Elephas maximus indicus: one gene and its partners. The protein of the gene in region 4 interacts with the protein of the main gene of each other region in a pairwise test. Links are inferred from orthologs where the notes say so. Each region holds a gene or a part of one and is shown on either strand. Other genes may lie near its edges. The genes, in order: BYSL, PDLIM5, SNRPF and COIL.

Region 1 (7,667 bases), on a different chromosome or scaffold from region 4:
CTTCTATATAGCCGTTCTTAGATGACGCATGGGCACTTCAAACATCACATGTCATCAATGAACTCATTCTCTTTCCCTCCTGAGTCTGCACCACTCACTCTTTTCCACATTTCAGCAAACGGCACCACCATTCACCCAATGCCATACCACAGCCTGGGAGGCAGTCCCGCCTCATCCTGCACCCTCACCCCCAACACCCAGACAATTACCAGGTCCTATTCCACTTTGTAGAATATCTCTCAAATCCCTCACAGCCCTATCTAAACCTCGACCAGCATCATCTCTTGCCTGGGTTAATTCAAGAATCTTCTAAATGATCTCCATACTTTCAACCTTACTTCCCTCCAACTCATTCTCCACTCTGCAGCCACAATAACCTTCTAGAAATACACATTTGATTGGTCCTGCACTCAACATACTCTTCAGTAGTTTCCCATTCCCTTTAGGATAGTTTTAAATCCCAGGCATGGCCTCTAGGTCTTTTGGAGACTTGGCTCCTACCTACCTCGCCATCATTCATTAATCCATTCATTCAGCAAACCCTGAGTGCTTACTGTATGTAAGGCACAGTTCAGGGTGCTAGGAATAGATCGCTGAACAAGAGTAACACAATTTTTTGTCCTTGTACAGCTTACATTCTAATTGGAGGAGACAGGCAAGGAACAAACATAACAAGTAAAACATACTGGGTTAAAAGATGACAAGGGCTATGAAAATAAAGTTAAGAGTATAGTATACAAGTTGGAGTACAGTGGAGCAGAGGAGAGAAGGGATGGGGTGTTGCAATTTTAATTAGAGTGGTCAGGGTAGGCCTCTCTGAAAAGGTGAGTAACTGAGGAGGTGAGCCTACAGGCGTATGGGGACAGAACAGCCCAGGCAGAGAGAATAACCAGGGCAAAGGCCCTGAACTGCCATGTTTAAGCAACAATGAAGCCTATATAGGTATGATGAAGTGGACAAGGCAAAGGGGAAAATAGTATAAGAAGCCAGAACGGTAATGGGGGTGAGGGGGCTGAACAGATAGGGCTTTGAAGGCTATTGCAATCCTCTAGCTGTTGAGTTGAGAACGGACTGTGGGGGAGGGGTAAGAAATACTAATGAGGAGGCTCCTACAATAATTCAATTGCGAGATCTTGGCGGCTTGGAACAGAGTGGTACGGTGGTGTTCCAAGGTGGTAAGAAGTGGTCTGATCTAAATACATTTTGAAGGTAGAGTCAAACATGATTTCTCGACAGACTGGGTGTGGAGACAGAGAAGGGTCCAAGGTTTCTGTCTTGAACAATGGGAAGTTATCGTGCTACAAACTGAGATGAGGAAAACAGTGGGAGGCGCAGGTTTGGGGAGGAAGGTCAGGATTTCAGTTTTAACATGTTAAATTTGAGATGTTTATTAGATCTCCTGTAGCCCTGGTAGCACAGTGGTCAAGAACTAGGCTGATAACCAAAAAGTCGGAGTTCGAATCCATCAGCTGCTCCTTGGAAACGCTATGGGGCAGTTCTGCTCTGTCTTACAGGGTCGCTGTGAGTCGGAATCTACTCCACAGCAACAGGTTTATCAGGCCTCCAGTTGGAGATGCCAAGTAGGATATAATATTGAATCTGGGTTCCACTGAAGAGATCTGGGCTGGAATGTAAGATTGGGAGTAGTCAGCAAACAGATGGTGTTCAAACCATGAAGCTTGATGACATCACCAGAGAAGTATGTGGGTTTAACAGAAGTCCAAGGACTGAGCCCTTCAATAATTAGAGGTTGGGAATAACAGAGGAGCCAGCAAAAAAGACTGAGAGGTGAAGTAGCAGTAAAACAGAAGTGTGATGTCTTAGGCATAGCTAACCCTCAGTCATTTTACCAGTCTCAGCTAATAGGTTAATTTGGAAAGCCCTTCCTGACACCCAAGACTATGCTATTCCTTACTGGAGAAACTGTAGTTTCTTTATTATGGAATGTATTATTCTAGTTGTCTATTTAATTGTCTCTTTTCTAGACTGTTGGGTCCTGAAGTGAGACAGTGTCTACCTTGTTCATTTCTGAATCCAAACTCCTAGCACAGTGCCAGGCACGTAGTAAGCACCCCATACATATTTATGGAACAAAAAGATCATTGCTTAGGAGAACCTGGTCTAACTTTGGGGATGCCGGGGAGTAAGAGCTTAAAACTAGGAGTGGGCGTGGTGGGGCTCTGACTACTCTAAATTCGCTCCACGACTCGGCTCCTACTCCAATACCTTTGTAAGAGTGTAATATGGACTCCCTTCTTTAATTCCCAGTTATTCCTTTGCAAGTCACCTCTAAGTCGTCCATCCTCAACAAAGCTGTGTTCGTCGCACACTCTGCCCCCCACCCCCGCTCGCCCACCCGCCCGCCACCGCTCACCCAGCCGCGTGGTGCGCTCCCTCGGCGCCTTGGGCCTGTCTCCAGTCCCATGTTCAGTCTCCAGCTCCTCCTGCTGCTGCCGCGCTTGTTGCAAAATCCGTCGGGTCAGCCGGGGGCCCACATATTCTTCCTCTTCTTCTCTGGTCCTGCGGCCCCTCCGTTTTTCCCGGGCCCCCGCCCGCACTGCGTCCGCAGTCAGGATCTGCTCCGCCAGGGGCGCGTGTTTTTCCCGATCCCCAGCCCCGCGTGCCGCCTTAAATTTTGGCATTTTCCTCAAAAAAGTTACCGGGAAGATTTACACGTGGGTACCGAGGAGAGAAGCCCAGCGCGCTTGCGCAGTGAACTCTCAGTTCCCAAGAGGCAGCGCAAAGAACAGCGCGACCCCCAGCGTTCGGAGGCCAGAAGTGCCATCAGCTTCTCCCCCCCTCCTAAGAGAGCTCGTGAGCCTTGGAGCTAGATACTCGAATACCTTCATTGCTGGTTCCTCTATGGGGTGGCAGTCCGAGCCATGCTTTCGTAGCTTCATGGACCCAGGCCCTGGATGCCCAGCCAAATCTCAGTTTCCGAAGCTGCAAACCTAGGGGCGGGAACTGAGCGGATGACGTTGCTGGAGGCGTCACCCAGGGGTTGCCCAGGCAGGTCTCTTTCCTCGTGGCGCGTCGACTAGGCGCACTGTTTTTACGTAACTTCCGGGGCGTTTCCCTCGCTCGAAGCTTTCCTTAGTGGGTTTCACTTCATCGAGAGTGCTGAGTTTCAACTGTTTGAAGCTGCAACCCTCTTGGCCGGACACCATGGGAGTGACTTGGTAAGACTGCAGGACCGCTCGGGATTTTGTGGGGCGAGACTGGGGGTCGTGAAGGACCTTCGGAGCCTCGAACAGACCTGGGAGGAACTACCAGGGTCCGCCGTCCCCCAGGGAGCTTAGCAAGATGTCTCCGTGTTGTGGGAATGAGAGGCACACTGTGAGGGCTGCGGGTTCTCCGGGCCTGTTTCCTCGAAAATGAGCCCCTGGAAGGCGGCAGGTAAAAGGTTTTATCCCAGAAACCCATTAATGTTTGTATCTCCCTTTTTTCTTTCTGCCTGTGAGGCCATATTACTGCTAGTAATAGGACTTCAGCTTCGGAAGTAGCATCTCCGGCCTGGCACCTATCAGCAGGCAACGCTGGAGGGAGTGGAGGGTAGGCAAGGAGAAGACAGTGTTTCTTTTAGGTTTTTGCCTGATCCTCCCTACAGCCACAAAGTGCAGTGAGACCAGTTTGTGTTTAGTTTCATTTTCGCCGTTTTAATACCTCGGGTCAAGAGTAAAAACAAAGCCACTGAGAATTAGAAGATGGGCTTCTAGTTGCTTTACCTCTTCAGGACGTGTTTCCTACTATGTTGGCTTCCATGGTTGGTGTAGTTTCTATCGGCCTTTTATTTCTAACATGTTGTAAGTCTCAGTTGGAAGAGGGAAAGGTGGGCCTAATGCTCTCAGAGGCATTATTTCCAAAAGGCTTAGTTTCAGGACGTTTTAATGTCATTCCATTCAAAGACATTAAAACATTTTTCCAGTCAGAGGGGCTGGAGCCCAGAATATCTGAAGTCAGTGGCTGTAGGCTTCTCATATAAAAGTGTGTAGGAGCATTTTTTTCTCCTGGTAGCCCAGGCTCTTGAAAGCTTGCAAGTGATTATGCCCATGTTTCCCACAGTTGATATATGATTCTCTTCTGAGTCCTGTAGTGTAAGAGGGATGGGAATGAAAAGTTTGCAACATGGAGGCTTGGGACCCTGGAAACCCCTGACACTTTGTCTGTTGGGACCCTTACCTTTTTTTTTTTTTTTTAAGAATCCTAGGACTTTTGTTTCTCATAGCTTTGGTTCAGGCATTTTCTTTCTTTTTTTTTTTTTAAATAATTTTTATTGTGCTTTAAGTGAAAGTTTACAAATCAAGTCAGTCTCTCACACAAAAACCCATATACACCTTGCTACACACTCCCAATTACTCTCCCCCTAATGAGACAGCCCACTCTCTCCCTCCACTCTCTCTTTCCATGTCCATTTCGCCAGCTTCTAACCCCCTCCACCCTCTCATCTTCCCTCCGGGCAGGAGATGCCAACATAGTCTCAGGTGTCCACCTGATCCCAGAAACTCACTCCTCACCATTTTCCAACCCATTGTCCAGTCCAATCCATGTCTGAAGAGTTGGCTTCGGGAATGGTTTCTATCCTGGGCCAACAGAAGGTCTGGGGGCCATGACCTCTGGGGTCCTTCTAGTCTCAGTCAGACCATTAAGTCTGGCCTTATGAGAATTGGGGGTCTGCATCCCACTGCTCTCCTGCTCCCTCAGGGTTTCTCTGTTGTGTTCCTGTCAGGGCAGTCATGGGTTGTAGCCGGGCACCATCTAGTTCTTCTGGACTCAGGATGATGTAGTGTCTGGTTCATGTGGCCCTTTCTGTCTCTTGGGCTCGTAATCACCTTGTGCCCTTGGTGTTCTTCATTCTCCTTTGATCCAGGTAGGTTGAGACTCATTGATGCATCTGGGATGGCCACTTGCTAACGTTTAAGACCCCAGACGCCACTCTTCAAAGTGCGATGCAGAATATTTTCTTAATAGATTTTATTATGCCAGTTGACTTAGATGTCCCCTGAAACCATGGTCCCCAAACCCATGCCCCTGCTACACTGGTCTTTGAAGCATTCAGTTTATTCAGGGAACTTCTTTGCTTTTGGTTTAGTCCCGTTGTGCTGACGTCCCCTGTATTGTGTGTTGTCTTTCCTTTCACCTAACGTAGTTCTTATCTACCATCTAATTAATGAATACTCCTCTCCCACCCTCCCTTCCTCCCCCCTCATAACCACAAAAGAATGTTTTCTTCTCAGTTTAAACTATTTCTCAAGTTCTTATAATAGTGACCTTATACAATATTTGTCCTTTTGCAGCTGACTAATTTCACTCAGCATAATGCCTTCCAGGTTCCTCCATGTTATGAAATATTTCACAGATTCCTCACTGTTCTTTATCGATGCATAGTATTCCATTGTGCGAATATACCATGATTTATTTATCCATTCGTCTGTTGATGGGTACCTTGGTTGCTTCCATCTTTTTCCTATTGTAAACAGTGCTGCAGTAAACATGGGCCTGTATATATCTGTTCGTGTAAAGACTCTTATTTCTCTAGGATATATTCCAAGGAGTGGGATTGCTGGGTCGTATGGTAGTTCTACTTCTAGCTTTTTAAGGAAGCGCCAAATCGATTTCCAAAGTGGTTGTACCATTTGACATCCCCACCAGCAGTGTGTAAGCATTCCAGTCTCTCCACAGCCTCTCCAACATTTATTATTTTGTGTTTTTTGGATTAATACCAGCCTTGTTGGAGTGAGGTGAAATCTCATTGTAGTTTTGGTTTGCTTTTCTGTAATGGCTATTGATCGTGAACATTTCCTCATGTATCTGTTAGCTACCAGAATGTCTTCTTTAGTGAAGTGTCTTGATTGTCTTTTTGGTTTTTGCCATAGCTAAGTACCACCTGTAGTGTTTATTAATGTTTTCTTTTAAATCTGTTTTTTTTCTTAAACTTAGTTTAACCATCAACTTACATTCTTAGAGAGGTAGATTACTATTGTGGTTAAGAGCATAGATGTGGGAGCCAGGTTGCCTGGTTTGAATCTTGGCTACACCACATGTTAGATATGTGACCTTCGGCAAGTTACAGCAGCCAACAACAATTTCCTCATTTATAACAAAGAGAAAAGTAATAGTGCCTCATATACAGCTGTTCAAGGATTTGAAGAGTTAATCCATCTAAAGACCTTAGGATACTGCCTGGCAGATAGTAAGTAGATGGTTGGTAATTGTCACCTATCATCCTAAAGAGGAAGCAGTTTCACTCACCATAGAAGGACACCTTGGAAATAACATTTTTTTTTGTTGCATTGTATTAAATTCTCATAGATATTGTTGCCTCTCATCTCCAAAGATGATAAACTTGAGGTTGCTTTCTCTTTGTTCCTTGGGCTGTTGACCTTTCTGCAGTGATGGAAATGTTCTATATCAGTAGTGCCCATTGTATCAGCAGTGTCTAATACACTAGCCCCCAGCTACATGTGGCTATTGAGCCCTTGCGATGTGTGTAGTTCTTTAACTGAGGGAGTGAATTTTAAATTTTGTCTTATTAATTGAAATTTAAATATGCCATATGTAGCTAGTGGCTACTGTACTTATAGCCCAAGTTCAGAGTGTTAGAGAATTGGTAAAAGTGTACGAAGTCCAAACATACTTTATCCTTGACGTAGTCAGAACTGAAAGAAATGCACAGGGAATCTCTTTCTCATGACAGGAGTCAGTGTTACGGAATGCTCAGTCTGTGTGCCACCTAAAGTCTTCTCTTGAATGGTGGCACACGTACTACACTTGGGAAATGCTAGAGTGATAAGAAGTTCGCTGCACTGGTGTAAGAGTTCTGAGGCCTGTGCTTTGGTTTCTAGAGAAACTTTCAGGGATGAGGGGGTCAGGGTGAGTGGTCTCTCAGGTAACTCCTGGGCCTGATGAGCTATGATTTTGTGAGTGAGTGGCTCAGTGAGGCCTGTGTGTCTCTGGATACTGATGATTTTGGTTCTCTCTCTTCCAGCGTGTCCCAGATGCCTGTGGCCGAGGGCAAGAGTGTCCAGCAGACTGTGGAGCTCCTTACCCGAAAATTGGAGATGCTTGGGGCAGAGAAGCAAGGAACATTTTGTGTGGACTGTGAGACCTACCACACGGCTGCCTCTACCCTTGGCAGCCAAGGTCAGTGAGACGGGTCTGTAGGATGGTTGGAACCAGACTTGGAGCTGCTGGACGTTTGTGTTCTTTGAAGTCTGTCTGCTCTTCTGCTAAGAGTGGTATTCCTGAACAAGAACTTAATTCTTGGTCCTTCATGTCTTAGACTGGGGCTATTTTTGGCTGTTTTTCGTTTCAACTGTTTTAAAGCAGTGTTTCTCAAAGGGTAGGTTTGGTGACCAAGTGCATCAGAATCCCCTGGGTTACTTGTTAAAGGTGCAGATTCCTGGCCCCACTTACTGATTGACTGACTGGTGTTGCAAGTCTCGTAATCTACATTTTAAGAAGCATCCCAGAGGATCCCTATGTACTCTAAAGTTTAAGGAAGACTCCTTTCAGGCTCAGGAATCTCATGTATGATTTTTTAAGTACTTTCTAACACCTAGCCAGTGGCCTTGGCTACCTCTTCAGCATAACCTTGACCAACTTTTGTTTTAAATGCATTGCCTGATGAGATGGGGGTGTGAATGGTAGGGAGGGAAAGAATATCTTTG
Region 2 (7,713 bases), on a different chromosome or scaffold from region 4:
TTCCCTGTTCTCAGTTTCCACAACTATCAAAAAACAAAAAAGAAATTGCCATCAAGTTGACTCTGACTCATAGTGACCCTATGGGACAGAGTAGAACTGCCTCAGAGGGTTTCCAACCTTTTGGTTAACAGCCGAGCTCTTAACCACTGTGCCACCAGGGCTCCGAAGCTATCAAAAGGAAGTAAGGTTACCCTCCCTATTTAGAGCAGTAGTACTCAGTGACTCTTATTTAGATAGCTTTGGGGAGCAACCCAATGATTCTTATATGCAGCAGAAACTGAGAACCCGTGCTATAAAATTTATGTGTGTATGCTTTAAGAACTAATACCATAATGTAAAATGGCTTATAGAGTGTGTGCTCAAGAAATGCTGATCCCCTTCTTTGAGAATTCCTGTAAGATTTTTGTTTTGAGATAGTCTATTACAACACTTCCATTTACTGCTTGTTTTTCAGATGTTTACTACTCAGACTTTGTTCCTTGTGATATTCAATTGAACTAGATTTTGCCTGTATATGATAGGCTAGTGGGCATGAGAATGAGTGGTTTTAAAGACTAAGAGCTATAAGATTTCTGAAACATTATAAACTTTTTCATAAAATAAAGTATTTTTAAGTACTATAAAGTTTGATAAAGCCTTGTAAGCATGAGAATAAAATACTAGAAAATGGGTCCATAAGTTTGTGGTTGAATTGTAAACAGTTTTTGTTGTTGTTGATCTTGAACACTTAAAACATAATTGTTTCTTAGCACACGGATGAGTTTTCAGTTTTTAAGATCATGTTGGCAGCATTAACTCTCCCAGGTCAATGCTAACGCATTAAATTATATCCTAGATTGCCAAATGTTAATGTTTCCCCTCCATTCTGGACTTTAAAAATTAAATACTCATACCTATGAGTGCTTTATTTACTTTTCAGGATTAGGACTTTGAAGATAAATTGACTTAGAGTAATGTGGGAATTTTTTTTTTAAAGACTGGCACTTTATAGTTCATTGGGTGCGACTGCAAAAACTTGTCATAGTCATGCTATCTTGTAATTAAAAGTTGCTGTTATTTTTGTAGTACTGCAAGAGGATTCTGAGTCATACATTGGATAATAAAATGTTAGAGCAAACATTTATACACTGAGGTGAATACTGTATTTAGATGGAATATTCTTAAATACTCTTCCTGCTAAATCAGTTAATACTTGATCTTTTTTTGTTTTTTCCATACTCTAACTTTTCTGTGCACTGGTTAGGATAAAGTGAAACTTTTAATATGGTTTTCTTTGTGGTCAGTGTCTCATCGGTTAGCTGTAGAGTTAACAAGGCCAAGGACACTGTTTTGATTTCCCAGTGGATCAGCTATCTTCTGGCTATTCTGTAGTCACAGACTGTCCTTCAAACCATGGCCAACCATTTCATAAACATTAGTCATGAGGGAGATGGAGAAGCGGAGTCAGTAGGACTCAGGGGCAGCTCATCACAGAACAAGTTAAAGCACATGCCCTACGGGAAGTGGTTCAGTAGTTTCATCCTCCCTCATTTTTTTCATATACAAATAATCCTACGCTTATTTTATTTCAATAATTTGCTTCAGACTGTACCTCTATGGCCCTCAACAGCGTTAGTTGCTATAGTTTTCATCTTTCTCTGATCTTTAAGCTGGTTGGGTTACTGAATTTACCAAGAAGCAGTGTGTTGAAGTGAAAAGAACGTGGTTTATGGAATCAGACTTATTAGTCATGTGCCCTTGGTTAAATTTCTTAATCTGCAAGTTTCTGTTTCTGCCTCCGAAAAAAAACCTATTTAGTATGGTTGTAAGAATTAAATAAGATGATGTACATAAATTACCAAATAGATAGTACATGTATAAAGAATACTAAAGTTCTCTGCTGGTCTTTTAATATACATTAATAGATCTAATCATTTGGCTTTGAATGTTTCATGTGACTACCATTTATTTAACACCTACTTAGTGCCAAGCACACTGTGGTGTTTTGTATATATTATTCTCCTCCTTATGGTAACCTCACATGTAGATATTATTTCCTTTAAGATGAAGAATCTGAGTTAAATTTTTGCTATCTGGGACTCATGGCTCTCACCTCACCTAATCAACCACCAAACGCACTGCCGTCAAGTTGATTCCAACTCACAGTGACCCTACAGGACAGTGTAGAACTGCCCCACTGAGTTTCCAGGGAGCGCCTGGTGGATTCAAACTGCTGACCTCTTAGTTAACAGCAGTATTACTTAACCACTACGCCACCAGGGTTTCCTCACCTAACCACAGTACCAGTAAATTGAAGATACAGGGCTTTTTCTAGGGAAGTGGTTTTTAAACATTATAGTTTAATAATGACCTAATGAGGATGTTTATTAAGAAGGTAGATTCCTCTGCCTCCCCTCCAAGAATTCTGAGTCTGGGTGGGGCCAATGAAAATGCAATTTTAATAATCTTTGCCTGTGTCATTTTGATGCTGTTGGTCCATTCGAAGACACTTGGATAAATATCACTTCTTATGGTATTTAATTTTGTTGATTTTACCTTATACCTCAGGAATCCTTGGGTGGTGCAAACTACTAAAGTGCTTGGTTGCTAACCAAAGGTTGGTGGTTGGAGTCTACCCAGAAGTGCCTTGGAAGAAAGACCTGGAGATCTACTTCAAAAAAATCAGCCATTGAAAACCCTAGGGAGCACAGTTCTACAGTGACACATAGCATCACCGTGAGTTGGAATCGGCTTGATGGTGAATGTTTTTTTTACCCTATACCCCAGGCTTTAAACTGAGGTAGTAGGAGGAGGATCCAGAGGCAGGTTAAAACTCTGCCTAAAACGGAATTTGTGTAAGTCAGCAACATTTCTCTCACTCCCAACCCTTCCTCATCACCTCAAGATACTTATTCTCTGCAATTCTTGATGTCTTTAATCAAACCTTCATTGACTCATGCTCAATTTCAGCAGGAAACAGATGAGGAAGTACAGAGATGGGACCATTATAGGATGTCTTTAGCTATGGCCCCCTGCAACTGTTACAAACTAATCTCTCTCAGCCTCGATTTTCTTATCTGTAAATGGCGATGACATTTCTTTTACAAAGTTATTGCAATGACTACCACGCTGTCTAGCACATGGTAGGTATTTGTAAATGATAGTGAGTTTTATTTACTAATTTTTGATGAGATGTCAACTGTGATAACATACATTTAAGCACTGCATAAACAGGCTCTCATACTAGGAAACTCCTTCCCCCCACAACATAATCCTTTGGTGGATGTAACAAAATTATGGACCAGTGCTCTCCAATGGAAATTTAATGTGAGCCACATGAATAATTTAAAGTTTTATTGTATCCACATTAAAAGTGAAATTAACTTTAATAATAATTTTAACCCAATATATAAAATACTATGATTTAAATATTAAGCAGTATAAAATCATTAATGAGGTATTTTATATGACATCTTTTGTACTAAGCCTTTGAAATCCAGAATGCATTTTACACTTCAAGGTGTCTCAATTCAGGCACTAACTGCATTTTCAACTGTTAAAGTGAAATGTAGTTCTATTCAAACAATAAGGTGTGTTTATTGGAAATATCTTTTACTCAGCTTCACTTTTCAATTAAAATGCTATAAAATGTTCCCTTATGCAGTTCTTCAGTCATACTAACCACATTTCAAACGCTCAGCACCACATGTGGTTAGTGGCTACAGTTTTGGACAGAGCCGTTTTTGACCTTCTCGTCTAGAATTGCTTACATTTCTAAGGGATTCATAGTCCCCATGAAGTTCATCCTTGGTTTATATTCCCCTTGTTTAAGGGTTGTCGTTTACACGTTTTATAAAACAGTTCACTATTTTAAAAAGTCAATAAGTTACTTTCCGTGTATTCACTGGACATTATTTAAATTTGCTTAATAATAAATACCTTGGGTTAAATCAAGCAACATTCTAGAAATTAGAAGGTAGGTGCTGATTTGGATTTTAAAAAATAAGCCAAGGATACAGTGGTTGAACCACTTTTGGTCGCTGCTCTTTGCTGCTTTCTGGTGTGATGACAGGATTTAACGTCTAGATATATTGGGTCACTGATTTTTACCTTTCTAGCAAACATACTTCATGCTCTGCACTTCTTATAGCACATAAAACCAAAGACAAAAAAGCCCACTGCCCTCCAGTCCATTCGGATTCATAGCGACCCTATAAGACAGAGTAGAACTGCCCCATGGAGTTTCCAAGGAGCACCTAGTGGATTCAAACTGCCAAACTCTGGGTTAGCAGCTGTAGCACTTAACCACTACGCCACCTGGGTGTACAGAGTACATAAAGCGCTCTCAAAAAACAAACAGGCAGTATCCGCAGAACTTGCATAGACAGGGATTTACCCAAAGCCCCTTCTATTTTTAGCTAGAGCAACTGCTTGCCAATTTGAGGTTTCTGGAGAGAGAAACGCACCTAGTACGCAATAAAATGCGAAGGGTTAGACCTTTAACAAGTATTGTCCGAAATCCCCTAAGACTACTCCCACCGAAACTCGGTAAAGCGATTGTTCTGGGATAAGGTTTCAGCCGCCCGAGCAAGCCAGCGAGCCGGTGTCTCCGGCAGCCTCCTCCGCCCCGGCGCTGCTCTGCCGGGCCCGGGGGCGGGGCCAGGCGCCGAGGGGGCGGGGCCCAGCCCGGAGGCGGGTTCGGGGAGATCCAGGAGGCGGAAGTTCCCGCAGGCCGGCGAGGGGGACGGCGCACGCACCGCGAGACACTTGTCAGCGCTTGTCTGAGGCAGAGGCAGCGCCGAGCCGGAGCCGAGGTGAGTGGCTGCTGCCGGGGACGCGCTCTCCGATCCGCGGGGAGGAGGGATAGAAGTGGTGGCTGAGCGCAGAGCGCTAGGAGGGAAGCCAGCGGAGAAGAAGGAGGGGTGCGCGTCGCACGGGGGGCGGTTTCTCAGGTGTTTTCTCGGCGCGGAGCGGGTGAGGTAGGAGGCGGCTGAGGTGGGGAGAGGAGCGCCCCGGGAGCGGAGCGCGGGAATTCCTTGAGCCCGTGCCGGCCGGGGCGAGCGTGGCAGAGCCCGGGGGCGGGAGCGAGGCGCCGGTCCGCTGTCCGAGAAGCGGAGGGCGGGCGCGGAAGGGCTCCGGAACACCCCCGCGCCACCGTCGGGCCGGCTGCCCGGCGTCGCCAGGAACCGACCTTGGCGCTCTTGTACACCGACGTCTTGCTCTAATCTCCTAGGGGCTTGAGGAGGAAGCGGGACCCAACGGGAAAAGTGTGATGTTTTTATTTGTTTGCTCTCAGTACACTGAGAAGCAAGTATTTCCTCCCCAGATGTTTACAGTTGTGTAACCTGTTTCGGAAAAGCTTTCGTGCGTCCAGAAATAAAGATCATTAAAACAAAAATGACTGTCATGAGCTCTGGATTTATTAATACTTGCGTGCATGTAGGGGTTTTCGTGCCTTTGGTAAGATTGACAATAACTGGAAAAAGGAAGGGCGTGTGGACAGGGCAGAGCTTGGAAAGAAAATTCGTAGCTGCGCTGGGCAGGGCAGGTCTAGGGTGTGATCGCCAGATCCGATCCCAGGTCCGCCTTCCTGACCGTGAGGACGTCTGAACCCGCCTGCCACGGAAACAGCCTGCTCCGGAGCCTTATTTGGCAAACAGGGCTAGGCGTGAACCTTCTGCTGGGAAACTGTTTCGTCGGGCGCCTTCATCCTGTGCCTGTGGCTTTGGTTCTTCTGCTCTACCTCCATCATCTCTCTAATCTGGGGAAAAAGAATCTCAAGCTACTTTTTTTTTAGTTTCAGGCTCTTCTTATTCAACTCATCACGAGTTCTCCACTCCTCCCCCTCCCACCTACCAAAGAAGCTGGGATAGAAGTGTAGGAAATACCAAGTTTTCTTCCGTAATAATAAAGCAAAGACATTGTTTAGATTTTCCCTAAAAGAAAACACAAAAATTCCAATATTTTCCATGCTTTTGAAAGCAGAGTAAGCTGCTCACTATTTCTTGCCTGTTGGGTATTTTCAGAATGGTTTGGGCACTAATAACCAGATGATTTTCAAGGAGACTTGGAAAAGGCCAGTAATAATATTGTCATTGCTTAGGGATCTGAATATTTGAAGGCAAATGAATTCTGAATGAAGCTAGCAGAAGGAGAAAACTAAAGAAAGGAAAACACTGATTCTGTACTGTGCCTGTGACCGGCCAGTGCTAGAAATTTTAGTAGCAAATAGAGAAATCAGGAAGGGAGCCCAAAGTAAAGGGAACTTGCATGTACAAGGGTTGATACAGAAATGAAATACATGTTCTTGTAGGAACAATGGGGCCAGGGGAAGCTGAACCCAACTTTTACATTCTTCCTGTCCCAAGTTAAGGATTAAAGAAGACGTCTGGCTGCCTGTGAAATACCAGTTGGCTTTACATGCTTCTGATTTAAATTGTGTGCTGATATCAAAACAGTTTTTCTCTCCTAGATCTATGAAAATCTCTTCATTACAGCAGGAAAACAAATTAATTGTGTGGCTCTTTAGTACCTTCCTACTCCTCTTTTTCATGTATCGTAGTTGTTTGACTTCTGGCTTAGCCTTTAGGTCTTTCTAGTGCCCTGCATCTTTTCAGTAGTGGAGTAACATTATTGCAGAGTAATACAGTGTACTACTGTGTCAGTGGAAAGGCACATTTAATTCCTAGGTAGATGCTGTACAGATTGCCACTGATCTGATTTTTTTGTAAGAATCAGACTTATTTGAAAGTTTCGCCTCATGTTCCTTTTATGAGAAGAAGGAATCTGTTTGCTTTTAATGTACTCAGTGGCTCGAATATCTGCATCTGTCACTATGAATTTGGTGTGGTGGCATAGAAATTTTGAATGGGTTAAACAAATGCGAAACACTTTAAGAGAGCTAATATAAAGTGATCATTTGGTTAAACAACTCAGATTATCCCAGAAGAACATTTTAAACAGCCTTTAAAAAAAGTTTTTAAAATTATGCATATTCTATTATATTTTTAATATTTTTCAAAGAAGGAACTATTATATTCCTTAGTATTCTACTGAAAAAAATAAATCCCCGTTCCTCCCAAGCTCCCCACCCACATAAAGCCACATAACAACCAATACCAATCTTCGAGTTATATTTTTTTGTGCTGTAATTATTTTGTTTTATAAAAGTACTACCATGAGAGTCATTGTAAGCACACCAAAACACAGGGAGAAAAAAATAACAAAACCCTGAAACATTTATTCTTTTCTAAAACTCCATTCAGTTGACTACATTAAGATTAGCTTTGCACTCCTATCATGTTTCTTATTCATCATGTAGTAGATGGTTACTTTAAGGAGGTGTGTGTATAAAGTAAAAGCAGTAAATTCTAACTAAAATAGTACTGTGCTAGAGTATTCCCTATCATTGACTATGCAAAGAGAAAGTATACAAGTGTGGAAAATATCGTATTCCTATGGGAGCAAATACAAATTGTAGTTAATGACTGAAGAGAATAGTTTTGTGCATTAAAAAAAATTTTATTTTAAAGACCTCAGTATTTGGAATGGGAGTATATTGATTTGCAGTCCCTTTCTTATGTTAGAGTAACTTAGAACTTAAGTAAGCGAAATTGAAGTACTTTTGCTAACTGAATGCATGAAGGCATGAGGTGGAGAGAAGAGCAACATCATTTTGAATTAAACATGGAATAAAATCTTGTTCTTTCCTATATACATATACATAAAGGAGTG
Region 3 (7,346 bases), on a different chromosome or scaffold from region 4:
TGAATTGGTGCAAATTTTTATAGTCTAAGTCTATCAATTCAGTCATTCATTTATTCACTCAACAAATTTACTGAAAATCGATTGTGGCAGGGAATGACTAGTAATAATAACAAATGAGTTAATAAAAAAAAATTCTCGCTGATATAGAGTAAAACAAACGACAAGAAAAAAAAAAAACCTTGCTGGCCTGGTGTGTTACAGAGTAGAACTGGGTGGGTTTGAACCACCAACCTTTTGATTAGCAGTCAAGCACAAACTGTTTGTGCCACCCAGGGACCTTTTAAAAGAGAGTACCAAACCTGTTGCCGTCAAGTTGATGCTGACTCATAGCGGCCCTATAGGACAGAGTAGAACTACCTCATAGGGTTTCCAAGGAGCGGCTGGTGGATTCAAACTGCCAGCCTTTTGGTTAGTGGCCTATCCCTTAACTACTGTGCCACCAGTGCTCCATAAAATAGAGTACAATTAGTGTTAAAACAAGATAAGATTGTGTAGGCCCATGTGACAGGATAATAACCTGAGGAAGACAGCGAAAGCTTCAGTTATAAAGTACCCATTTGAGCTGGACCAGGAACATTAAGATACGGAGGAATTTTCCAGGCTGAAAGTACTTTTAGGTGAAGGGACTATCAAGTGTAAGAACATGGCCTGTGGTTCTGGGAAAGGCTTTTGTTTGTGGGACAGAATGGAAAGAGATGAATCTATAGAGAAAAGCTGGCAAGGATTTGTTAAGGCTGCTAGAAATGGGTAACCAGAAAGGTTGGTGAGCAGAAGAGCAATAATGTCCAGATCTCCATTTTGTTTTGGAGGAGGCGGGTGTTTGGAGATACCTCTGGCAACAGGGTAAAAAGACGAAGAGGTAGAATAACCAGCTTTATTTCTAAAATTTGGTCCAATGGAGACATTTGAGGCATGAGGAAAGGTGGAAGGAGGTTGAAGGCAAAGGAAACTGGGGGGGGGGGGGGGGGAATTCCATGAGATGCAGGTTTTATTCGTTTTGTTTTTTGAGAACAGTGAGGTCTCCATTTATAGAGGTTCACTTCAAAGTTCCAGGCGGTCAATCAGATGTTACTCAAAACACCATTGCCACCTTGTGGACATATGGCTAAGAACTGAAAAGGGTTTAATGTTAATATTTAACACTAGTCATCTAAACCTAAACCTAACCTGCTGCTGTTGAATCAATTCCGACTCTTAGTGACCCTATAGGACAGAGAACTGCCCCATAGAGTTTCCAAGGAGCTTCTGGAGGATTCAAACTGCCAACCTCTTGGTTGGCAGCCATAGCACTTAACCCCTATGCCACCAGGGTTTCCAGTGGTCATCTAGTTAGTTAAGTGATTCCCAGCCTTGAAGGCTTCTCTTATTATCTACCCTCCCTCTAAAATGAATCTATGAATAAGTGTCATTTATTGACAATTTACTTTCCCATTTATATAAATGTCAATTACAGCTTCTGATCCATGATAATCAACCAGTATTTGCCTTCTGATTTCATTCTAATCAAAAGCAGAAAGCATGAGGTTTTAGTCAGTCCATACAGTATTCATTAAGATAACTGCACAATTTTTTAAGTTTTGGGTTTGTTCGTTTATTTTTAAATAACGAAGACAGTTTTCAAAGTCCCAATACTGTATGCAGAGCGATCCAGGTTTAGGGGCTAGCATTTATAAACCATTGATCTAACTCAGATTTTTCCCCCCCCTTAAGCCTATCCTGGCCATGATAATTAATTCTGACCATAATTATAAACAAAGAAAATATTGAGTATTATGGGAATAAAGGAGAGAATATAAAAGGAAGAGCTCATCAATCTCAAAAGTAACTTCCTAAACTCTATCTTCCTCCACCCTGCATTCATATTGGTATTTCTATGTATTTGCTCACTTGTTCTCTACTCTAACTCAGTTTGGGGAGAGGTAGCAAGTATAAAGGAGAAATCCTGGGCTTTGGAGCCACTTTCAGTCTATGTGGCCTTGAGCAAAAATACTTAACCTCTCTGAATGTGTCTCATTTCTAAAATGGGAAGATTAATACTTACCACGAAGTGCTGTGAGGATTTAAGTAAGATCCCATCGCTGTGGAATTGACTCTGACTCATAGTGACCCTATAGGACAGAATAGACCTGCCCCATAGAGTTTCCAGGGAGTGGCTGGTGAATTTGAACTGCCGATTTTTGGTTAGTAGCCAAGCTCTTAACCACTGTGCCACCAGGGCTCCTCAAGTAAAATAAATTACATGAAATACCCTTGTACAACATGGCAGGCGCTCAGTATGTATTAGTTCCTTTCTTCAAAAAAGGTTTTAAAGTTCCAGGAGGGCAGAGATCACACGTCCATTTCATTCCCCACTATTCCCCCCGAGTGCCTAGTTCACAGTATCAGTACTTGCTGCTGTTGAATGGATTCCTACTCACGGTGACCCCACGTCAGAGTAGAACTGTGTTCCCTGAAGTTTTCAGTGGCTACTTTTTCAGAAGTACGTCAGGCCTTTCTTCTGAGAAGCCTCTGGGTGGACTTGAACCTCCAACCTATCAGTCAGCAGTGAGGTGGTTAACCGTTTGTACCACCTAGGAGCCTGTAGTAAACCCTCAATAAATATATCTTGGTCATTTAATAAATTACTTTTTAGACGCTTATTTACAGCTAGGTTTCATCCTAATTAATAATTGAGGAAAGTTCCCTCAGAATGTGCTCAAGATATATTCTTTCCCATCTCGAAAAATTTCCCCCAAGAGGAGCCCTGGTGTGCAATGGTCAAGCATTGGGCTGCTAACCAAAATTTCAAAGGTTCGAACCCACCAGCTGCTCCTTGAGAGAAAAGACCTGGCAATTTGTAAAAATTACAGCCTGGGAAACCCTATAGAGCACTTCTGCTCTGTCCTTATAGGGTTGCTATATGTTGGAATCAATTTGATGGCACACAACAACATTACCCCCAAATTAAAACTGATTATTCTGGTGGCTATTCTGTTGAACCACATACAAATATGGCAATAAATATATTTTAAAACCTTGAAAATAATAATGCCTATTAACTCAAGAATTATACTCCTAGGAATTTACTGTAAACAATCAGAGATACATTCAAAGATTCATGTAAAATTATGTCCAAAGCACATCATTTATAATGGGAAAATGGAAACAACAGAACGATTAATAAATGATCACATATTCACAAAACAGAATAATGGAGACATTAAACCACACTTCAGAAGCATATTTAATTATATGAGAATTTTCCCAATATAAAGTGAAGAAAACAAGTTACAAAACGGTATGTAGATTATTTTTTAAAACAGCATGCGTTACAATAAATAGTACATTAAAAAAGTTAATTTTTTTTTGATTGGTGGGATTATCAGTGACTTTTGGTTTATTTTTTAGAATTTTCTGTATTTTCTAAGACCCCCACAAAATGTACAGCATTTATAATTAGAAAAATACCAACGACTTTAAGGTATTTAAATTTAATATTTAACATGAGAAAAAATCAACTTCAAACATCTTTACACAGATTACTGTAAGATACTGTTTCACTTCACAGAGAAAACAGCAAAGTCAGATTTCTAAGGTATATATTGAATGACTGAAAGGATGCTTTAAGTAAGTCAAAAAGCAGAGTTTGGGGGTTGAAACTCAGTTATGGAATAGTGGGCAAGTTACCTGCTGAGCCTGTTTCCTCATCTCTAAAATAGGGCTGTAACTGCCAAATCAAAATACTGTTTGGGAAGATTTCTATGATAACAACTGTGAAAGAGCCTAGCCCAAAGTAGGAACTCAAAGTCTGCGTAAAGGCTAAATATTTATTGAATGATCATCAAACTAAAAGAAAACTCACGGAACTTTGAGATAAATAACTCCAAGAACTGCTTGGCTTAAACTATAAAACCCAAAACCAAACCCGCTGCCGTCGAGTCGATTCGGACTCATAGTGACCCTACAGGGCAGAGCAGAACTGCCCCATAGGATTTCCAAGGAACGGCTGGTGGACTGGAACTGCCGACCGTTTTGGTTAACAGCCGAGCTCTTTACCACTGCGCCGAAAGAGCAAAGGAAACCTCTATTAGCCAAGTTGACGAGAAATCACGTCCGTTCTACACGATATATAGCATCTCCCAGGCGGGAAGTCAACACAAGGCTTTTCCTGCCACCCCATCGAGGAAGATGGAGTCGGGTCCCTTAGCCTTTGAAGTCCGGCCGAAGACTCCTCACGGGTCTCGAAGCCCGGAAAGCATGCCGCTGGTTGCCAGGAGACACTGCACAGCCACCTCCTCCAATCAGCACGCGTCTCTTTGTGCCCAATCAGAGAAGCCAGACGGGCTGGGTTAGAGGTGAAAGGTCACGCTGCTTTTTGGCGGCCATTTCTCTTGGAGTGCCGCGACTCCGGGCCTAGAGCGGCTGCTTCGATCACGAGGGACGGACAACAGCTGGGTCGGCGGCGAGGATCCTACACCATTCACCCGTAGTCACGATGGTAAGGAGAGAACGGCGTGAGTCGCCGGAGAGGGAGAGCGACCGGTCTAGACAGGCCTGGTAGTTGTTTCGCGCGTTCCCCATTCATCCATGTGAGAATCCGTGAATCTCGCCGCCAGTCCCTTTCTCCCTGAGTTGGGGACTTTGAGGGCCTCCCGGTGCCCTCCCCTCCCCAGCATCCTGCTCTCTTTCCCGCTCTTCTTCGTTTGAACCCAGGCCTGAGGTTTCCTACCTGACCGAGGCCACAGGGCCAGGGTAAAGATGAAGCGGGACTTTGGGACGCTCCATTTTCACTTCCTGAGTATCACACTCCACAATCCACTTTGATTCAAAGATGTTAGGACCCCCCGCCCGCAGCCCTCTGGAACCCAAAGCACAGGCTTTGAAGCATTCGTGTATTCGTTCCGGAAATCTTTATTGTGCGCATCCACCTGTCAGTTACTGTTCTAGGCGCCAGAGGTGGTGGGTGAAAAGTACTGATGCGGACCCTGCGCTCTGTGTGAACCCATAGTGGGATGTGGGAGACAGGCATTGATCAAATAATAACAAATAAACATACAGTTACAAATAATCCTAAGAAGGAAGCAAACAGGATGCTTCGTACATTAGATAGGTGATCAGGGATGGCTGCCCTGATAGACGGCATTTGACGGTACATCTAAATGACATGAAATACGGTCCCTTAAAGAACAGGAGAAAGAGTGTACCAAGCACAGGGAACAGGAGCAAAGCCTTTAAGGCCGGGAAGAAAGCTTGACATTTTCCAGGAGTTGACCCAAAAGCCACAGTGCTTCTTGTGGAAAGAGGAGTTATGAGATAGGGTCAGAGAGGCAGGCATTGAGCTGAACCTTTTAGGCCATTTTAGTAGGTTTGGATTTTACTTCAGGTGCAATTCGAAGTTATTGAAGCATTTTAAGCAGAGGTGTGACATTCGATATATACCTTAAAAAATAATAATACTTGCTGTATTGTTAATAAACTGGAGAAAGATGAGTGAAAACTGGACACCTATTAGGAGGTTATTGCAGTAGATCCTGTGTCCTGTGAGATCACTCTGAATATGCTTATCTTAAAAGGATTGGGTAGCTAGGTTTCTTGGTTCTTTCCTTCCTTTGAGCTGATGGGAAAGCAAATGAGGGAAGGAGAAAAGTCTGAATTCACTGGGGATTCTACTGTTTTGCTGAATAAACAAACATTAAGTGAAACCCTGGTGGCCCAGTGGCTAAGAGCTTGGATGCTAACCAAAAGGTCATCAGTTCAAATCCATCATCCGCTCCTTGGAAACCCTATGGAGCAGTTCTACTCTGTCGTGTAGGGTTGCTATGAGTTGGAATCTACTCAACAGCGGCGGGTTTGGTTTTTTTGGTTTTAAGTGATTGCCTACAATATGTAGCAGGCGCTGCTGGGCATTGGTAATACAAAGCCAAATAAGACCTAATCCTAGCCCCTAAAATTAAAGTGAAGGTTCTGGCCCCTGCTTGCTTCTGTAGCCTCATGTCTGGGTACTCTGACAACACTGAATTGTTTGTATATCTCTGAGGTCACCTTAGGAGTCCCTGGGTGGTGGTTTCAGTTAAGCACCCAACAACTAACCAAAGGGTTGGTGATCCGAACCCACCCAGAGGCGTCTCAGAAGAAAGGCCTGGCATGCAGTTACCACGAGTCAAAATTGACTAGGGCAGCTGGTTTGAGCTTACCTTGTTGCTACACCCTTAGCTGCTTTTACATCAGTCCTTTTTCTTCTCCGGAAGCACCTCTCTTCCTTTAAAACTGAGGCATTACTTATTTCAGGCAACCTTTCCCCCGTATTGGTTCAGTACTCCAGTGTGTATCTGCACTTGGTACATCTGTCCATCTGTATGTATCCCGCCCGCCCCCAGCCCCCGCCAGCTACTTGAGGACAGAGACTATATCATCTGCTGTTTTTTTTCTTTTTTAGTGTCTTCACCTTTGTTTCTTTAGAGCCTGAAACAGTCTTTCTTAAGTGAATAACAAACTTCTAAAAGTTTTGATGAGTTGAAGATGAAACTGGCTGATTGGTTGTTTAAATTTTCCTGGTGCTTTTCAAAAAATAATAGTCAAAATTATGTATTAATTTTCACAATTTAAAAAGTGAAAGGGAATCAAGAGTTTGCATCACTTGGATACATAAAATATTGGTGGATGATTTGGTAGAGAAGAAAGCGTGGTGGAAGCCAAGCTAAGGGAAAAGAATCAATTGAGTCCTTTATTATTGTTATTATTTATTCCTTGTGCAGAGTTTACCCCTCAATCCCAAACCTTTCCTGAACGGATTAACAGGAAAGCCAGTGATGGTGAAACTTAAGTGGGGAATGGAGTACAAGGGCTACCTGGTATCTGTAGATGGCTATATGAACATGCAGGTAAGCTAGAGTTACAAAAGTTATAAAATTGTATTTATTATATTCCACCTTGTTCCTCAGAGGTCTTAATGTGGCTTACAGAATGCATACAATGAAACTGACAAATATAAAGCAAAATCAGGAATAAAGTCAAGGCCGGGAAGATGCTGTAACTCTGATATACAAGGTACAAGACTTGGGGTTAACCCAGAGTTCAGCCACAGATGATTCCTCGTGGTTAAAGTAAGAAGAGCTCAGACATTTGATTCATAATGCCATAAGGGAAACAAAAGAGTATGCTGGAGAAAGCAAAACTTTTCCCAGCACTTAGCTCTGAAAGAAGTTTCTCAAGTGAAACTCCTGAAATGTTTTTTAATGAATGCTAAAGGGACAATACCAAAGTAATTAAAAAATCAAAGCATTTCTTAACGGGGAAGACAGGCCAGACAAAGGGATGGATGGACTCACTGCATGTCTGTTAAATTAGCTTCTATAAATATTTTAGCC
Region 4 (7,804 bases):
AAAGTGGCCAGAAGAGCAAAACATTCTACATATGGCTAAAACATTACAGATGTGGCTAGAAGATGTCTCCTTGGGCACTTCTTTCTCTCTCTCTCTCTGTCTGTCTGTCTGTCTCTCTCTCTCTCTCTCTCACACACACACACACACACACACACACACACGGTAGATAACTTTTACCCTTACTCATACAGGTAAGGCAAGATTACAGTCTCCCTGAAAATGACAGATATGGATCCGATCACTTTGGACCCCACCCCTGCACTCCTCCCTTCCCTGGCAGGGACCACTGTTAAAATTTTGCGACCACTGTTAAAATTTTTCAGACAACATATTTTACAACATTTCCCAGACAAAAAGCTGAAGGGCCAAATGACCCCCATTTTACAAAAGGGAAAACAAAAACTATTAAGCAACTGTCTAAGGTCACATGATAAGTGTGTGGCCAGTTCAAATCCTCAGTTCTTGATCCAGACCAGCAGACATTTTGGTGAGCCATTAAGAGTGAAAAGAGTCAAAAGCAGTTTGCAAATCATCATTTTAAAAACGACTAGATTTTTGTCAAAAAATTTCCATGTGCGGGGAGATGTTACCTTGTCCGTTCTGAACAGAGGGGAAAACTCTTATCTCATTAAAGGTCTCATTCATGGTACGGCTTTAAGAGTCTTTTTGACCACATGTTTTAGCTAAAAAAAAAAAAGGCATTATAACCTCATTTAGTAGTCACAGAAAAAGGAGGTGGAAACCTCAAGATCGTGGAAGGCTCATCGATCGGCAGTTTCCACAAATAATACATTATTGCACAACGGCTTCTACTAGGACAGGGAGGAAGGCGGGGAAGCCAGAACCCAGGACAGGGTAGAGGAAGCATTTACAATAAAAAAACAACAACAAAAAACGGGGTGGGTGAGTTCAAAATCAATATAAGAACAGGGAAAAAGAGACCTGTCAAAAGTACAAGCCCACTAACAAACTCTCCTCACCCCTGGAAAGAGAAAGAAGCACGAGTCGCTGATGCGGATTTCGCGACCTTTGCCCGAACCTACCTGCGCTAATGCTGAGCAGCAGCAACAGCAGTCGCGGGACGGAGCAGGAACACAGAGCCAGCTCCATGATGACCGCCGTACAGCAGCATCAGCAACAGGCTGGACCCGGCGCCCGATCACGTGAGGGCGGCGGGCGGGGCCGGAGCCTGCGCGGATCCGAGGCGGAGCCAGGAAGGTCCGAGGCGGAGCTTGGAGGCTCGGAGAAGGAGTCTGGGCGGGCCAGGGGCGGGGCCTGGCGGAGCGGCTCGCCATGTCTCGCGAGCCCTCTGCCGGGAGGTCAACCAGAATCCTCTCCATGGTCCTCAGGCTGTTCGTGTTAGTCTACCTCGTTCTGTGGGGTTTTGGGAAAAGGACCACGAGGGAGAGCTCGATCGCCGAGGCGTTTAGTGTAGTACATTTGAGTAGGATTTGAGGGTGCAGGTTTGGTTCGTGCCACTGGGCTGCGAGGCTCCTGAGGAAGAATTGCAAGCACGGTCCTTTCTGCCCCGCCCGCCTCTTTCTTCCCCAACAAAAGGCCTGAAATTTCAGAAACTGAGGCATCTTCCCCAAAAGCCTGACCCAGCTGATGGTTGGAAACTGCGCTTCCATTTTCAGAGATTTGCTTTTTAAATTCCCTTTCTTTGTAAATCCCGTATATTATGGATGTTTTAGAAATTCAAAAAAATTTTAGATTACACAATCATTGTTGACATTTGGAATTTTTTTCTAGTCTTTTTACTTCGTTTTTTTAAACACGATAATAAAAATACTCTTTAAAAAATCTTAAAAGCTTATCGTTGACATTATTTTGTGTTACTTTGTCTTCATAACAGGCATTTTAAAGAGAGAAGAAAGGCTTGGGAGGAGAAAGGGAGGAAAAGTGGATGGCAGAGATTTGTGTGTGTGTCTGAAGGCCATTTTTATTATTTTTTTTAATTTTTATTGTGCTAAAAGCGAAAGTATACAAATCAAGTCAGTCTCTCATACAAAAATTTATATACACCTTGCTATTTTTATATACTCCTAGTTGCTATACCCCTGATGAGACAGCACACTCCTTCCTTCCACTCTCTTTTCGTGTCCATTCGGCCAACTTCTGACCCCCTCGCCCTCCCATCTCCCCTCCAGACAGGAGCTGCCCACATAGTCTCATGTGTCTACTTGGTCCAAGAAGCTCATTTTTCAACAGCATCATTTCCTGTCCCATTGTCCAGTCAAATCCCTGTCTGAAAAGTTGGCTTTGGGAATGGTTCCCGTCTTGGGCTGACGGACGATCTGGGGACCATGACCACTAGGGTCCTTTTAGTCTCAGTCAGACCATTAAGTCTGGTCTTTTTATGAGAATTTGGGGTCTGCATCCCACTGCTCTTCTGCTCCCGCAGGGGTTCTCTGTTGTGTTCCCTGTCAGGGGAGTCATCAGTTGTAGCCAGGCACCATCTAGTTCTTCTGGTCTCAGGCTGATGTAGTCGCTGGTTTATGTAGCCCTTTCTGTCTCTTGGGTCATTTTTATTTTTTAGGGCTTCTGAATAACTCACCTCAATGAGCTAGGAAACAAAATACAGCCCAGGCTGTATGAGGGTCGGATTACCTCTAAATGCTGTCTCAAACGTATGTGTGATGGTCAACGACGAATGTCATTAGGGGATTGCAAATTAAAACAATGAGATACCACTACACTCCTAAATTGTTAGTTGTGAGATGCCACAGGGTTTTCTAGGCTCTAATCTTTACGGGAGCAGGTCGCCAAGTCTTTCTTCCAAAGAACTGCTGGGGGATTCAAACCCCCAACCTTTCGGTTAGGAGTGCTTAACCTTTGCACCATTAGTGCTCCTTATAGGACATTTTGTGTGTGTGTTTGTGTGTGTGTGCTTTAGATGAAGGTTTACAAGCAATTTAGTTTCTCATTAAACAATACACATATTATTTTGTGACACTGGTTGCCAACCTCATGACATGTCAACACTCTCCACTTTTCGAACTTGGGTTCTCCATTACCAGCTTTTCCTGTCCCCTCCTGCCTTCTTGTCTTTACCCCTGGGCTGGTGTGCCCATTTCGTCTTGTTTTCTTTTATGGGCCTGTCTAATCTTTGGCTGAAGGGTAAACCTTAGGAGTGGTTCAGTATTGAGTTAAAAGGATGTCTGGGGGCCATACTCTTGGGGTTTCTCCAGTTTCTGTCAGGCCAGTAAGTCTGGTCTTTTCTTTTTGGTGAGTTAGAATTTTGTTCTCCATTTTTCTCTGGCTCTGTTGAGGACCCTCTATTGTGATTCCTGTCAGAGCAGTCAGTGGTGGTAGCCAGGCATCACCTAGGTGTGCTGGATTCAGTCTCTGGTGGAGGCTGTGGTAGTTGTGGTCCATTAGTCCTTTGGGCTAATCTTTTCCTTGTGTCTTTGGTTTTCTTCATTCTCCCTTACTCCAGACCAGGTGAGACCAGTGGAGTATCTTAGATGGCTGCTCACAAGTTTTTAAGACCCCAGGTGCTACTCAACCAAAGTAGGATGTAGAACATTTTCTTTATAAACTGTTACGCCAATTGAGCTGGATGTTCCCTGAGACCATGGTCTCCAGTCCTCAGCCCAGTAATTTGGTCCCTCAGGGAGTATGGACATCTCTATGGAGCTTCAGTGACCTTGCCTTGGTCAGGTTGTGCTGGCTTCTCCAGTATTGTGTACTGTCTTACCCCTTACCAAAGTTACCACTTATCTATTCCTTACAGGACATTTTTAAGGGAATGAAGCTATTTTGAATGATATTGTAACGGTGGACACTGACATTACGTATTTATCATATATTTGTATGTATGTATATATGCTGTTAACCACAGTGCCACCAGGGCTGTATGTATATATAGAGATAGCCCTGGTGCCACAATGGTTAAGAGCATTAGATTACAGGAAAATAAAACTTCCTTTTTTTAAAAAAATTTCCATGTATCTACTGACTACCAAGAGTTCCGGTTGCTGAGTGGTTAAGTGCTCAGCTGCTAACCAAAAGGTCAGTAGTTGGAATTCATTAGCTGCTCCTTACAAACCCTATGGGTGCAGTTGTACTCTGTCCTATAGGGTCACTATGAGTCAGAATCAACTCAACCACAATGGGTTTGGTTTTGGTTTTGGATACCTTTAGAGGAGCACTGGTGGCGCAATGGGTAAGAGCTACAGCTGCCAAACAAGTCCACCAGCCACTCCTTGGAAACCCTATGGGGCAGTTCTACTCTGTCCTATAAGGTCACTATGAGTCGGAATTGACTCAAGGGCAACGGGTTTGGATACATTTAAAAGAATGGTTAACGGTTTTATTTATGCCCCATATTCACAATATGCTAGGAATTACATCTTTGCAACTCTTTATGATGAAAAATTTTGTCAACTAAATGCTCCTTGGAAACCCTATGGGGCAGTCTATTCTGTCCTATAGGGCTGCTATGAGTCGGAATCGATTCAATGGCAAGGGGTTTGGTTTTGGTTTTTTAGAATTCTTTTACGTATACGAGCGAGTATGTTAGAAGACCACTGCTTAGAAGAAGTGCTTGTTTTTCCAGATATTTGTCTAAAGTCGTCCTCGACATACGCCTAAAATCGGTAGGAGAGGATTAAAGGCATTTTATTTATACTCTGGCTTGGCCCTGTCGTGAATGAAATTGAATCGAACCAACCAAGCTCCACGTTCTTGCAATTCAGGAGGCCTGTAGTAGCCACGTGCCACCAACAGGTGGCACTCGTTAAAGGCTCCAGGCAGCTGGTCGCCCGAGCACGCCGCTCCGTAGCCCTGTGGTATCTCCCGGCTTCCGTTGAGCGCCGAGTAAGATGGCAGCTTCCGAGACGGTTAGACTACGGCTTCAATTTGATTACCCGCCGCCAGCCACCCCGGACTGCACTGTCTTCTGGCTTCTCGTCGACTTGAGCAGATGCCGAGTTGTCACAGATCTCATTAGTCTTGTCCGCCAGCGCTTTGGCTTCAGCTCTGGGGCCTTCCTAGGCCTCTACCTGGAGGGGGGGCTCCTGCCCCCCGGCGAGAGCGCGCGCCTGGTGCGAGACAACGATTGCCTCAGGTGTGCGGTGGGTTGGGGGGCCGCCGGGGGCGCGCCTGCGCACGCTCGGGGGCGTGAGGACCTGGGGCCTGCGGGCGCTCGGGTCGCTGGAGACCCCGGCGTGGCTGGGAGGTAGGGGGTGGGGCTGGGAGCCTGTGGAAGCGTCGCTGTTGAAAATGCAGATTCGTGAACCCCGGAGATTCTAATTGGCCTAGTCGTGTCTGGTGCTCAGGAATCTGCATTTTAACGCCATCCCTCCTCGGGATGCTCCTGATGTGGGTGATTGGAGAACCAAACTTGGAAAAGCGCTGATTTAGTGTACGGCAAGGCCCGTGTTTCTTTCAACCTTGGTTTAACAAGCCCTCCGACACTTAACCAAGCGCGGTACACCTGATGCAGATGTACCTGAGACCTGGCCTTCCCCTTGGCGGATCTCAGGGTCTGGGGCAGGAGACCCAGGTAAACAAAGAGGAACAGTTCTGTTTTCGTAATGTCCAAGTTGTCCAACCTTAGTTCACCTGCCGTATTCCCTGAGACTTCTAGTAGATGTCATTCTGTGTCGTACCCGAGTGTTTTGGGATTCACTCAAGTAGGTGTTTGTATCCTTTAGATTTGTGAATTGAGAAAACACAGAATAGTTTTAAATGTGCTTTTGGAAATTTTGTAAAATGATACCGAAGTGAGCATCGAGGAGTAATTGTACTGTGAATTCATCATATATGGTTGATTTCTGTCAATAAAATGGTGAGACATGATCATTACAGTTGAGATTCATATCTTAGACTCATTTATTGAAAGCCTTTTTAATATAAATATCTATATGTGTGTGTATATATCTATATAGCTTCAGCTACACTGAGTTGATTCCAGAGATGTGGACCAGCCTACTCCTCTTGCTTGCTCTGGGTTGTTGTTAAATATTCCTTCCCCCCTCTACCCCCACAGCATGTCAGTTTCATGAGATTTCTTCAGAACATCAGAGAATTTAATTTGGAATAATTACTATGTCTTTGAGTGTGTGTGTCTTTCTCTTAAATTAGGAACAATATGATGTATTAATAGCATTCAGCTGTTTCTAACGATAATTTGAAGCAGTGTACATTTCTAAAAGGGTTTCTTTTCTTTTTTATTGACTGTGAAATAGATCTCCATTCTCCCTGCAATTCAGGGACTATTTTTATTGTAAGGATTGTGTCCCCTTCTGCCAGCTGCCTGAGGACTTAATAACTTGCCTCTAGCTAACTACATTTATATCTCAGTTAATGAATCATCTGGGAATCATCCTCTTTATAATTAAATTAACAGTGTCAAAAAGAAACCATGAAAGATGTTGTAAATAATAAATACAATACAGTGGTAGGTGAAATTCCTCCAAAGTGCTTCAAATGCACAATTGCATATGGCAGTAAATACCTCTGTAGCTGCCTTTGGTGCTTAACAAGGCAGACCTCAGGGAAAAAAAATGAATTTGGAAAAATGTTGTTTGCTTTTGTTATTTCATGCCCCCAATCATTTTCTGCCTTCCTCTCGCAAACGCACTTCAGAGCTATAACAGAAAGCATAGTCACTGTTCTCAAAACTATCTAATATTCTTGGAGTAGACCAAAATAACTAGTTTCATGCTTCTGTATATTATCTTCTTGTGTGATGCAGGCAATTAGACCAATTAGTTAGACTGTAATATACTGCTAAGTGCAGAGGATGACTCAGAAAGGAGAGATCAGCATGTAACAAAAATGGCCAGGGAATTCCACAGTACCTTGAAGGATGGGTAGGAAATGTTGGTTGGCCACAGCACAATTGTGGAGGCAAGAGCTTGCCTGATTTGGTAAAGAGACAAGTCTGACTTGCAGAAGGATTCTGTTGGGACTACAGAGAAAAATTACACTAGGAAAAGTGGAGCCAGGTTATGGGAATCCCACATTTTTAGCCTGAGAAACTGGATTTGCTGCAGCATTTTGAGCCTAGAGGCTTGAGAGACATCTGGCACTTGTGTGCTGGCACCATTTCCTCACAGCCCATTCCCTTAAGCCCCTGTATTTTGACTTCATCAGCTCCCAAGCTGCTGACATTGAGCTCTTGGTCTCCAGGTCTCCTGGAAGGAGGAAGTGCCCTCCTTTGCTTAGGGGGATCGCCCTGTTGAAGAATCATTCTGTAAGGAAGCAAAGTGCATCCTTTCTTCCCTCCCTCTTTTGACCCCCTGTGGCATTTGGTACCAGATTTAATATTAGAGATGGGTTCTTTTTTCATTTGTCGTTAACTATTGGCCCCTTGGAGATGCAGCCAAGCTCCAGTGAAATGTCTGTGAGGACTGGCAGTGGGAGGTAAGAGTATAGAGTAGCTGAACCAGGCTGAGGACAGTTTGGTGCCCTGAAACGTTGAGTGCCAGAGAAAATAATTGCCATTAAAGTTGTCTGGCTCTAGGCTTCTTGAGACTAAGTATTGTTTCACAGCGTGCTAATGGTTTCTGGGCTATAAAATTTTAGACCCTGCCCTCTCTCTCATGTGGAGGAGTATGTTTGTCTAATGCCTATGAGCAGTCAGTGGAGACCAATAAAATTAGACCTTGCTGCTTTAATTTCTGAAACATTTGTAGTCCCTTCCCATCCTTTTATTAAAAACAAAAACAAAAAAAAGCTTGTCGTTAAAAAAAAAATTATACTCCAAAATAGTTTGAGATAAAAAGTCCTCCATTTCTCTTCTCACACACTTCTCCCACACTCCCTTCTCTAGAAGTGTCTTCAGTTAGGCTTG

The links.
Region 1: the proteins of COIL (region 4) and BYSL interact in binary tests that used the Homo sapiens proteins (3 or more experiments, as listed by UniProt). The link is inferred for Elephas maximus indicus from reciprocal best matches to the Homo sapiens genes COIL and BYSL.
Region 2: the proteins of COIL (region 4) and PDLIM5 interact in binary tests that used the Homo sapiens proteins (3 or more experiments, as listed by UniProt). The two-hybrid records come from large-scale screens. The link is inferred for Elephas maximus indicus from reciprocal best matches to the Homo sapiens genes COIL and PDLIM5.
Region 3: the proteins of COIL (region 4) and SNRPF interact in binary tests that used the Homo sapiens proteins (3 or more experiments, as listed by UniProt). The two-hybrid records come from large-scale screens. The link is inferred for Elephas maximus indicus from reciprocal best matches to the Homo sapiens genes COIL and SNRPF.

Annotation. Positions count from the first base shown.
Region 1 is NC_064819.1:106,347,290-106,354,956, reverse strand, and holds the start of BYSL (bystin), read right to left. Parts: upstream 3,008-7,667; 5' UTR 2,643-3,007; coding exon 2,375-2,642; intron 1-2,374. Other genes in the region: MED20 (mediator of RNA polymerase II transcription subunit 20), read left to right, coding at 3,166-3,179, 6,986-7,140. UniProt on the Homo sapiens protein: Required for processing of 20S pre-rRNA precursor and biogenesis of 40S ribosomal subunits. May be required for trophinin-dependent regulation of cell adhesion during implantation of human embryos.
Region 2 is NC_064823.1:60,104,015-60,111,727, reverse strand, and holds the start of PDLIM5 (PDZ and LIM domain protein 5), read left to right. Parts: upstream 1-4,696; 5' UTR 4,697-4,793; intron 4,794-7,713. UniProt on the Homo sapiens protein: May play an important role in the heart development by scaffolding PKC to the Z-disk region. May play a role in the regulation of cardiomyocyte expansion. Isoforms lacking the LIM domains may negatively modulate the scaffolding activity of isoform 1.
Region 3 is NC_064822.1:161,191,129-161,198,474, forward strand, and holds the start of SNRPF (small nuclear ribonucleoprotein F), read left to right. Parts: upstream 1-4,344; 5' UTR 4,345-4,474; coding exon 4,475-4,477; intron 4,478-6,734; coding exon 6,735-6,860; intron 6,861-7,346. UniProt on the Homo sapiens protein: Plays a role in pre-mRNA splicing as a core component of the spliceosomal U1, U2, U4 and U5 small nuclear ribonucleoproteins (snRNPs), the building blocks of the spliceosome.
Region 4 is NC_064837.1:37,099,038-37,106,841, forward strand, and holds the start of COIL (coilin), read left to right. Parts: upstream 1-4,796; 5' UTR 4,797-4,826; coding exon 4,827-5,071; intron 5,072-7,804. Other genes in the region: SCPEP1 (retinoid-inducible serine carboxypeptidase), read right to left, coding at 1,044-1,110. UniProt on the Homo sapiens protein: Component of nuclear coiled bodies, also known as Cajal bodies or CBs, which are involved in the modification and assembly of nucleoplasmic snRNPs.